2 linked regions of the Caenorhabditis elegans genome follow. The protein of the gene in region 1 purifies or fractionates together with the protein of each later gene. This does not show direct contact. Each region holds a gene or a part of one and is shown in the gene's direction. Other genes may lie near its edges.

The links.
Region 2: the proteins of hex-5 (region 1) and myo-1 fractionate together in Caenorhabditis elegans (co-fractionation; one large-scale study listed by BioGRID). This does not show direct contact.

The regions. Positions count from the first base shown.
Region 1 is NC_003284.9:14,901,087-14,907,179, reverse strand, and holds hex-5 (beta-N-acetylhexosaminidase), read left to right. Parts: upstream 1-1,918; 5' UTR 1,919-1,951; coding exon 1,952-2,045; intron 2,046-2,144; coding exon 2,145-2,230; intron 2,231-2,274; coding exon 2,275-2,360; intron 2,361-2,655; coding exon 2,656-2,827; intron 2,828-2,873; coding exon 2,874-3,065; intron 3,066-3,148; coding exon 3,149-3,335; intron 3,336-3,389; coding exon 3,390-3,525; intron 3,526-3,571; coding exon 3,572-3,666; intron 3,667-3,709; coding exon 3,710-3,884; intron 3,885-3,927; coding exon 3,928-4,143; intron 4,144-5,020; coding exon 5,021-5,087; 3' UTR 5,088-5,299; downstream 5,300-6,093.
Region 2 is NC_003279.8:7,263,874-7,268,898, reverse strand, and holds the start of myo-1 (Myosin-1), read left to right. Parts: upstream 1-1,841; 5' UTR 1,842-1,963; coding exon 1,964-2,032; intron 2,033-2,612; coding exon 2,613-2,885; intron 2,886-3,262; coding exon 3,263-3,605; intron 3,606-3,657; coding exon 3,658-3,762; intron 3,763-3,814; coding exon 3,815-3,982; intron 3,983-4,029; coding exon 4,030-5,025. UniProt on the Caenorhabditis elegans protein: Muscle contraction.

The DNA.
Region 1 (6,093 bases):
AAATGTGCGTTTCAAATTTCTGATCTTCGAAAATGATCTCTCAGTCCGACCAGTCTGTGACCAGCACTAAGCCTGAGAGCAGTGGCGTCTCTTCTTCCGTCACAAACCTATTTGTCTCAAGCCTCAAAACAATGCAATTCTTGTCTTGATTTTTTGTTCTTGCGTTGTAACAGTTTTAGTTTCAGCCTCCACGCCAACAGAGACACAAAACAATACGTTCATTTTTTTTAGTGTAACTTTTTTTGTGTTTCAACCTCAAGATTGCTAAAAAGTAAATTTGCGGTGGGTCGAAGATGGCCGAACTCTCGTTTTACTATTTAGCTAGTCACTTTCAATTTTTTTTGTGCCTGGAACGCTTGTTCATTGATGTGTAGTTGTGTGTTTTCTATCTAAATTTACAAGTTTCATATGTATTTATTGTTATATATTTTCACTTTAGCCAATACATTTCTAGCACAAAATTGAAAAATAATCAGTAGTTCAAGAATAGATTTTTGATTTAAAAGGGGGCTTTGTGTTATGGTAATTGTTGAACATTTTATTGAAGATACTTACAATTTTAAAAATGACAATCTGTATAATTTTCATTTAATAAATTGTGAAGATTTTCGAAATTTCATTTATTTTAACACAGTGGAATTATTAACGGTTGAAACCGAGTGTGGAAAAATTGTTTAATACTACTTCTACAGTGCGAAAGTTATTATAAAACTCGGTAGGACTCTCAACATGCAAATACTATTCTATAATAAGTTCCTCAAAGAGTTCAAGTTTTTCGCATATTTGGCTATATTTGGCAATTTGGTAATTCGTCAAAAGTTGTTTCCAAAAATTTAAAACTTTAGCAGAGTTTTGAAATTATATTTCGAATTAGGTTTCATTACTTCTTTTTATAAATATTGTACATATTACTAGTCGAACGAATATATTATAACAACTCTTTCAATTTCTCACCTTTAAGATATTCTTATCAATTGTATCATGAATGAAAAAATAGTGCGAAGTGCAAGATGAAGCGTGAAAGAAAAAACTTGATATCTCACGCACGTGGGGGTTTTCTCCCTTTTCTTGCATTTTCAAATCTTGTTCTCTCCCCCTGTCAATAATTTTCTACACAAAAAAGTCTAAATTGTTTTTTTGCGGTCAGTTCTCTTGTCATTTTTTTTCACACTCACTCACTCAGTAGTTTTATTTCAAATACCCGTTTCATTGTTGACAATATGCATTGCTTTGATTCGCTCTTTGGGTTTTTTTTTGTGTTCCGCTCTATTGTGGTGTGGACAAGTAGTAGTATTTTGTATAAGAAGGATCAATTCAAAACCATTACTTGAAACGTATCAAGTTACCTTTTCTTAGTTTTTTCTAGTTTTTTTTTTGGCTATGGTGGGAAATTGGGTATCACGCGCGGGTTGATAGGATATATGGGGGGAGGGGGGAGAGGTGAATTATTTTTACACAAAAATTCAGTTCTCCTTACCTTTCTCTATATTTAACACGTTTTTTTCTGGTTCTCGGTTTTTGGTTCTAGGTTCTAGGTTCCAACTTCGAGATTTTTGTTCAAAAATGATGAGAACGCGAAAAAGAAAGAATGGGAGAGTGGAGAGATAGAAAAACCCCATTATCACTACTTTTCGACGAACATCAGTCAGGTTTAATGATATTAAATGTTTTCCTAAAGGTACTTACTCAAGTACCCTACACTTGTAACCAAGCCAATCGATACTCTTTCTTTAGTCGTCCCCCCCCCCCCCCCATCAGTCCGCGGTTTGTTTGCAAACCTAAACTATACACTGTTTTCAGTTTTTCGCCACTTTACGTTGTTTAACTATTGGGGAGTTTCCCAGCTGCCAACCACGTCCTACATATGTATCATTATCATTTGCAGCTCCGCTCATTTTAATCTTTTTTGATTATGATTATGTGCAACATTTTTCAGATTGTTTGGAAGCCTATGCTACTTCGAAGGACAATCTGTATTTTAGCGTGTATTGTACAGTTCGCAACATGCGGATATCAAAGGTCTATAGTTCATTTTGATATGAAAGGTGAATTCTGTTTATATGTCTAGATAATGTCTAAATGTCTAGATAACTATACCTAGATAACTAAATAACTATAACAACGTTTACAACTGTCCTTTTTAGGTGCTCCTCCAAAAGTCGCCTACTTCAAGCAGCTTCTCACCACAATTAGTGGGTTAGGTGCCACAGGAGTGTTACTAGAGTGGGAAGTAAGTTTATATGAAAAAGTCACACTTTGACATTAATATTTCAGGACATGTTCCCATATCAAGGAGGTCTTTCTAGAGTTGTTAATAAAAATGCTTATACCGAAGAGGAAGTGATTAGTGTATTGGAACAGTAAGTTTTGAAATCATGTATTGAAAATTTACAAATCCATGTCTTCAAAAATATCATGTTTATTAGAGTATTCTGATTATTGAAGCTTTACATTTAAAACATAAATTTCAAGTTTTGAAACTTCTGGGCCATACGCTGCTTTTTTTGAATGTTATTAACAATTGATACTCCAGTTCAAATCTATTTTTTACTGTTTACAATACTTGAACATCTGATATTTTGATAATCACTTTAAAGATAATGTTCCAGATTAAATTTCATCAAATATATCTATGTGCAATATTTTTCATTTCAGTGCACAACAGTTACAACTTGAAGTGATCCCGTTGGTTCAAACTCTTGCCCATATGGAATGGATACTGAAAACTGAAGAGTACTCAGTGCTGCGAGAAGACGAGCGTTATCCAATGGTAGCTTGTATTGGGAACCCGGAAAGTTTGGATATCATTTTAGACTCGGTTAACCAAGTAAGCCTTACACTTTCAAAATTTTAAGAACCGTAATATTATTAAGCTAATGAGAATACATTCCAACTTCAATACTGGATATGTGCATATTGGCGCAGATGAAGCGTTTCAAGTGGGAATATGTGATGCGGATCGCGAGATTTTGCCGGTCAAATATGACAACAATAAGTTGCGTATGATCTTCGACCACTTGAGAATGGTGTCGCTTAACATTACGGAAGAATATCCATCCACAAAGGTATGTCGGGGGTATTGTCAAAAGTACATCTTTGTCTCGGTCTCGTCAACCCAGTTCCGACCCCATAAACCCAGTTTTTCCAGGTGTTAATGTGGTACGACGAACTGAAAAGTGCGCCCTTAGAACTTATCAAAGAATACAACCTTGACAATCTTGTGATACCGGTCGTATGGAAATATACCGCTAACTTGGACAATGATTTACCTTCAGAGATGTGGAAAAATATGTCCTACTCGTTTAAGGAAGTATGGGGTGGCAGTGCTTTTAAAGGTAGTTGTATATAATTTGCCAACAATAATAATTATAATCTCATTTTTAATTCAGGCGCGGATGGTGCTAGTCGGTATTGGAATCGCTTGAAACCATATATACTCAACAATAAAGAATGGTATCTTCAAAATGAAAAATATAAACCACAGTTTACGACCTTTGACTCTATCATCATCACTGGTTGGCAAAGGTAATCAAATTCAGAATCAACTTTCGATTGATATACCACCGTTCAGATATGATCACTTTGCATCACTCTGTGAACTTTGGCCAACTTCAATGGTATCACTGGCATTGAACCTGATTGTTTTAACAAAGTTTCATATAGACAGTAAGAAAAGTTCAAACATCACCATTTCAATTTTATATTACAGAGGAGTCTGCCGAACAAGTAATACAGGCATTAAATTGTCCACAAACCACCACACTTGATCAGCTTGTGGCTGGGTCGGATCGGTGCCGATTTCCCGGGTATCGAGTACGGGATTCAATAAGAGATTATGTGCAGTTAAAGACATTTTTTGAAAACTCCACGTGGGTTCACAATAGGTACTATCTTAATAGCATTTCAGAATAAACGTCGATAATTCAGGGAAAACGGCTGGTTGCAATCGTCACACATGAGAATATCAGCTAGTAACCCATATTACATCGACGCAATTGGGAAGGCCTACGAAAGAACGCTGAAAAAGTTGGATACGGTTTCGAATAGTTTAAGCACTTCGTTTAGTGAAGTGTTTTACCCGGATGTGATTGAAGAATTCAAAACAGATTATTTCCAGCCGTTCTATGAGGACCTACAAAAAAGGTGAGAGTTCTGAGCATACAAAATATGTTTTTGAGTTTTAAGTTCACCTAGTTTAAAACAACATATAATTAAATTAACAACAGTTCCAAAAATTACTGTTTGATCAAAAAGCGACAGTTTCCAAGTTTTAAGGTGAAGTAGCGCCAGTGGGGAAATTGTTAAAAATCACTCCTTTGGTCCAAAAATGACCAAATATCATGATAAAACTTTAAAAATAAATTTTGAAAGTTTTTTATTTACTGTCAAAAAGTGGCAATTACTCAGTTTTTGCCATTCATAATTTTGGAAGTTGAACAAAAAAAATTGTTTTTCGACATTTTTTATGTTTTAATTTTGTTTAAACTATTTTTGTTAATTTTTATTAAACATGCGACATTTCTTGGCAATTTGCCAAAACTTTGACCGGAAATTATGAAAAATCTAAAATTTTTTAGAGAACTTTATTATGATATTCGGTTTTTTAGATCATTATAAGTGCATTCAGGCAAAATCTTCACTGACACTACTCCACCTTTAATATTTTTTTTATAGTTCATAAGGTTGATATTACTTTTTCAATCAAACGTAAAAAAACACTAAACAGGGGTTCTATACTATAATTTGAAGTGAATAATTTATGTTGTTCTAATTGATTAATCTAATTACATAACACTTCTTGTTTTTGTTACAACATTTTGGCGGCAAGATCAAAAGTGCAGCGACATAAATTGATACTTAAACTTTTGTTAACGTCACATGTTGATTCACTCAATTGACGCCGCAAAAATAAACACTCTTCAAATTCCTTTTTACTAGAGAAAGTGCCAAGACTAAAGAACTACACCGATTCAACTTTTATTGAAAATTCAATACATCATGTCCAATTAAATATTTGCAGAAAAGAGTCAGTCGACAACATTGATACAAAACGATTTTACGTGCCGCGTCCGTGGTTCCGGAGGTGAACAGTTGGTGTAATTTATTTTGCCATTTCGATGATATACGGCTTTACGTTCAATGTGTATTCTTGCCAATCTAGACGTTACTACACGGCCTGGTCCAACCCTTACTCTAACTTCTCATTTCTATGAAATTTCAAATTCCATGATTCATGTTTTCAGGATGCTTTAATTTTTTGATTGAATACAATAAAATGATTTTGGTTTTTCAAAATGATAAGAGTTGTAAGAACATTGTAAACAAAAATTCAATCATGTATTCCCACAAAGTAAATGTAACTTTTGATTGTGGTCCACTGACAGAAAATGCACTTAACTCAACGAATAAACGAGTAATAAAAAACCAAAATATTTATTAAAAAGCGATAATTCAATAAAAATTAAGCTCCAGACGCTGTGACACCGAGAAGTTTTTAAAAAATTGTGATTTTAACTGAAAATCAGCCTTTTTTTTCTAAAACTTTGAACCACCATAACTTTTTTTTGAAAAATTTTCAAAACGTGATTACAAACTTCGGTAGTTTTGGGTCATTTTGGGTCTAAAAAAACAAAGGTCTCAAATTTCGGTACTCCACCTTTAAGCAAAAAAAAAATTAATTGAAGATAGTTCATGTGTAGTTCTAATTTTAGGATGTTTTGCCAACCTGGGAAAAACTACTAGGAGTATGCTCAACAAGTATTATTTTTGATCGTGTTGGATTGGAAAAAGTTTCAGATTCTTGACAAAAAGATGAAAAATTTTCAAAAGCTTGCAGAATATTTGCTAACCGTTATGAAATCATCAAATGCTTACAAAACACCTTAATTGGAGTAAATTTTCAGACTATCGAAGTAGTGAAAAAATGGTCAGTGCATTCTATTATATCAATGTAGTGAAAGAATGCACTGACCATTTTTTTTTAATATAAAACTGCACCTCGGCTGTAAATTTTTCAAAAAGGGTCCAAAAGTGACTTTAAAAATTTTTCCTGTTAGGAAAATGTTGCTTATTCACTAGAAAAGCTCAGTCGAC
Region 2 (5,025 bases), on another chromosome or scaffold:
TTAATTAACTTATCCTTTGAATTTTTTAAGAAAAAATTCTGAAACAACATTTTCTAGTAGATCAGCAATACTTACAAGGAAAAAGAATGGTACATGTCACAGAAATCTTAGAAATTTCGAGAGTCTTCTTAAAAGTTTTTAGAAACTTTAATTTTTTATTTCAATTTGCTGAGAAACAAACTAATTCAACTTTTCGTGTTTCCAGACTGTTAACTAGGAGAAAATGATTTCAATTCTTGGTCGATGTACATACTTGATCGGTGTTCCCGTGTTCACTTTGAATTTCAGGGGGTGGCCCCGAGAACAAAGATGAATAAGAGGAGCGAAAATCTCAAAAAGAAACAGACACACACACATTTACGCACACACATACAAATACTGTGTGAGAGATATAGATGGGGGAGAAATTGGGCAAATATTACTATTAGAAAAACGAGAAAAATTCGAAGAAAAGGCGAGCGGAGGATGCGCAGAAGTATCCGAGTGTGGGATGGGGGAGCAAAGACATGGCACAAAAAAGTCGAGAGATTCGGTGAAACTTCCTTCACCAATGCCACTTGGTCTCTCATCATTATTACAACACATTTTTGGAGAGAATGGATATGAAAGTTAGGTTAAGCTACAAAAAAAACGTTATTTGCAACAGTTAAAAAAACAGGTTTCTCAAACAATCTATAACTAATAATCTGAAAAGTTAATTCCTAGCTGGGAGACTAATATCTGATCAGCACATAATATGTCCAGAGAGATCTTCGCAGCAGTGATATTGTGGCACACATCCCCAACGAAGTCGGCCACAATGTGCCAAACGCGCCTCGCAGTGAGTGCATTGCGGATGCTCGTTTTCGTGAAACACATATCGTACCGGTCCTCAATCGAAATGAGTATGCGCACATCGCGAATGAACTATGCGAATACAAAATAGTGATTTTTAAATGAAAACGTTAAGGTTGAATATCATGGTTTGACAAAAAAAATAAATACTTATAAAATTGCTTGAGGTATTAAGGTACACTATATTGAATATTATTTGGCAGCACAGTTTCTATATAACATTTTCTCATGTTAAATTTTTTGATGGATTTCTGAATTTTAATGTAGACAAATGTTTTCAACGACAAAGCATCCAACTTTGAATGTACTTCAAAGAACACGATGGAAGCAAAAATATTTTTTTAAACTCAAAACGTCGCTTTTTTTAAAATTTTTCTAAATAATTGTGTCCAAATCCGATTTAGATCTATTATTATTATTCGGATTTCTTACACAGTATTCATTAATGTTCTAATAGTGTTGTTTCTAATAATAAAATAAGACCAGTTTGCTGGTCCAGGTTACTGAAATCACTGATTCCAATTTTTTATACAAATATAAGTAAACTAAGAATGAATCCCTTAATTTTTTTTCTACATTTTTTTATCTACTCCCACAAGTTCCAAGCGCTTACTCTCAAAAATCTCTTACGTATGTCTCTATCCAATAATAATGTGTGCTCAAAAAAGCGCGGGCTCATTCCGAAAGAACCCCCTCCTCTGATTTTTTCAACAAGTTCTACAGTAATCTCTTCGTTTCTCAATTTAACATACTCTTTCGATGAACCTGAAAGATAAAGTACTTGGACTGGCGACGCAAAAGCTCAAAACGTATGGACAATGCACATCCAAGAGACGTTTGATGCTCTCGGCAACAGTTCATTGTGTGGATATCGGAGAGCCCCCTTTCTTGCGCACGGGCGCTAAGCAAGAGAGGAAGATGAGGGGGAGTTTGAGTTGCTCCGCCCTATGAAGTGTGCCGAGTGAAGCTCTCTCTTGTGTGTGCCAAACTATTATCCGTCCCTGCAGAGCACAGTAGTGTGGAGCTGTGTGCAGTGCAGCAGTAGGAAGAAAAAGAAGAAGTCACCCACCTGTTTAGCCTCATTTTTCAATTAGCCGTTCGTTTTAATTTCCACTGAAACAAATCAAGAATGTCGCTCGAACACGAGAAGGACCCAGGATGGCAGTACCTGAAAAGGTCGAGAGAGCAACAGCTCGCGGTAAGATTTTACTTCTTTCATTTTACTTTCTACTTTTTCCTAGGTTTACATTCGACGTATTTTTTCTCCTCATAAATCCTAATCTTCTCAAATTCCAAAATATTCGAAATTTATCTGAAGTCGCTGCTTTTTATACACTTCTAATAACGAATTGTTCCTTCAGTTTTGAACCTAATAAAATACCGTATTTTCCCAATTTGTCCTTCTCTCGACAAATAATATTTCATCTATTTTGAGTATAGAAACAATTCAATTTAATTTTCCAACTAGAACAAGATTCAATCTTTATTTTACTTGTTGAATATGTTCTGATAAACTTTAAAATGAAACTTTTTCAATTACAATAGAGTTATTTTAAAGTGGTTAAGTGAGCATTTTTACAGCAAAATATTAAAAATTGTTTCTTGGCTACTTTTTTAAACATATTTTCAAGGTTCAATCTCTTAAAATTCTTACCGGTTTTTCGGTAGATCGTTATTTTTAAAGCTTCTAAACTTCACCGTTTTGATATTTAGGATAATAATTATTTTATAACTATGTATGAATATAAATTAATTTTTATATTTTTTTTATTTTACAGGATCAATCCCGCCCATACGATTCGAAGAAGAACGTCTGGATTCCAGATGCCGAAGAAGGATACATTGAGGGAGTTATTAAGGGTCCAGGACCAAAGGCCGATACTGTTATCGTTACCGCCGGAGGCAAAGATGTAACTTTGAAGAAGGATATCGTTCAAGAAGTCAATCCACCAAAGTTCGAGAAAACCGAAGACATGTCCAACTTGACTTTCCTTAATGACGCCTCCGTTCTGTGGAATTTGCGTTCCCGTTACGCTGCTATGCTTATCTATGTAAGTTTTTTCAGTTTCAAAAAACTTCAAATAGAAACACGGAAAAAAGATCTGCGAAAATGCGTAGTTGGATAGGCAAATAGTGCGCCCACGCAAAAGTGGCAAAATGCTATCTTAAGTGGATCGAGACAGACGATGAGAAACAAAGAGAGTCATGCTCAATGTGCACAGTGAGTAAAGAGAAAATTTATATTGGAATTTTGGACTGAAATTGGAATGGTACTAAAAATATGTGATTCAACAAAGGCAGTATTGAGAATATAAAAATATCGTTCCAAAAAATAACTAAATTTGAATACTACTGAAATTTAAAGAAGTAAGTTCTATAAAAATGGGATATTGACTGAAACAAAATGTTCCAATTTGCCCATTTTCAGACCTACTCTGGACTTTTCTGCGTTGTCATCAACCCATACAAACGTCTCCCAATTTACACTGACTCTGTTGCTCGTATGTTCATGGGCAAGCGTCGTACCGAGATGCCACCTCATTTGTTCGCTGTCTCTGATCAAGCCTACCGTTACATGCTTCAAGACCATGAGAATCAGTCTATGCTTATTACCGGAGAATCTGGAGCCGGAAAGACTGAAAACACAAAGAAGGTTATTTGCTACTTTGCCACCGTCGGAGCTTCACAAAAGGCTGCTTTGAAGGAGGGAGAGAAGGAAGTTACCCTTGAAGACCAGATCGTTCAAACCAATCCAGTATTGGAAGCTTTCGGTACAGACATAAATTAAAAAATTAACACTTGTCTGATAATTTGGTTGTTTAGGTAACGCCAAGACTGTCCGTAACAACAATTCTTCCCGTTTCGGAAAGTTCATCCGTATTCACTTCAACAAGCACGGAACTCTTGCTTCCTGCGATATTGAACACTGTAAGTTGATAATAATGATAAGAAGTTATTACGAAAATCGTAAATTGTTCAGATCTTCTCGAGAAATCTCGTGTCATCCGTCAAGCTCCAGGAGAGCGTTGTTACCATATCTTCTACCAAATCTACTCAGATTTTAAGCCACAACTCCGTGACGAGCTTCTTCTCAACCATCCAATTTCCAACTATTGGTTTGTTGCTCAAGCTGAGTTGCTCATTGATGGTATGTTTTGTATTTCTGGAGAATGAGATTAACTTGTTTTATTCCAGGAATCGATGACACTGAGGAGTTCCAATTGACCGACGAGGCCTTTGATGTTCTCAAATTCTCGCCCACCGAGAAGATGGATTGTTATAGACTCATGTCGGCTCACATGCACATGGGTAACATGAAATTCAAGCAACGCCCACGTGAGGAGCAAGCCGAGCCAGATGGCCAAGATGAAGCTGAGAGAGCTTGTAACATGTACGGAATTGATGTCGATCAATTCCTTAAGGCTTTGGTGTCTCCAAGAGTCAAGGTCGGAACCGAATGGGTATCCAAGGGACAGAACGTTGATCAAGTTCACTGGGCTATTGGAGCCATGGCTAAGGGGTTATACGCTCGTGTCTTCCACTGGCTTGTCAAGAAATGTAATCTTACTCTTGATCAAAAGGGAATTGATCGTGATTATTTCATCGGAGTACTCGATATTGCTGGATTCGAAATCTTCGACTTCAATTCCTTCGAACAGCTCTGGATTAACTTCGTCAACGAAAAACTCCAACAATTCTTCAACCATCACATGTTCGTTCTTGAGCAGGAAGAGTACGCCCGTGAAGGAATCCAATGGACATTCATTGATTTCGGACTTGATCTCCAAGCTTGTATCGAGCTTATTGAGAAGCCACTCGGTATCATCTCTATGCTTGATGAGGAGTGTATTGTTCCAAAGGCTACTGACATGACTCTTGCCCAGAAGCTTACCGATCAACATCTTGGAAAGCATCCAAACTTCGAAAAGCCAAAACCACCAAAGGGAAAGCAAGGAGAGGCTCACTTCGCCATGCGGCATTACGCCGGAACTGTCCGTTACAACGTGTTGAACTGGCTCGAGAAGAACAAGGATCCTCTCAACGACACCGTTGTCTCCGTCATGAAGGCTTCGAAGAAGAACGACCTTCTTGTCGAAATCTGGCAAGATTACACCACCCAAGAAGAAGCTGCTGCCGCCGCTAAGGCCGGAGGTGGTCGCAAGGGAGGAAAGTCTGGATCTTTCATGACTG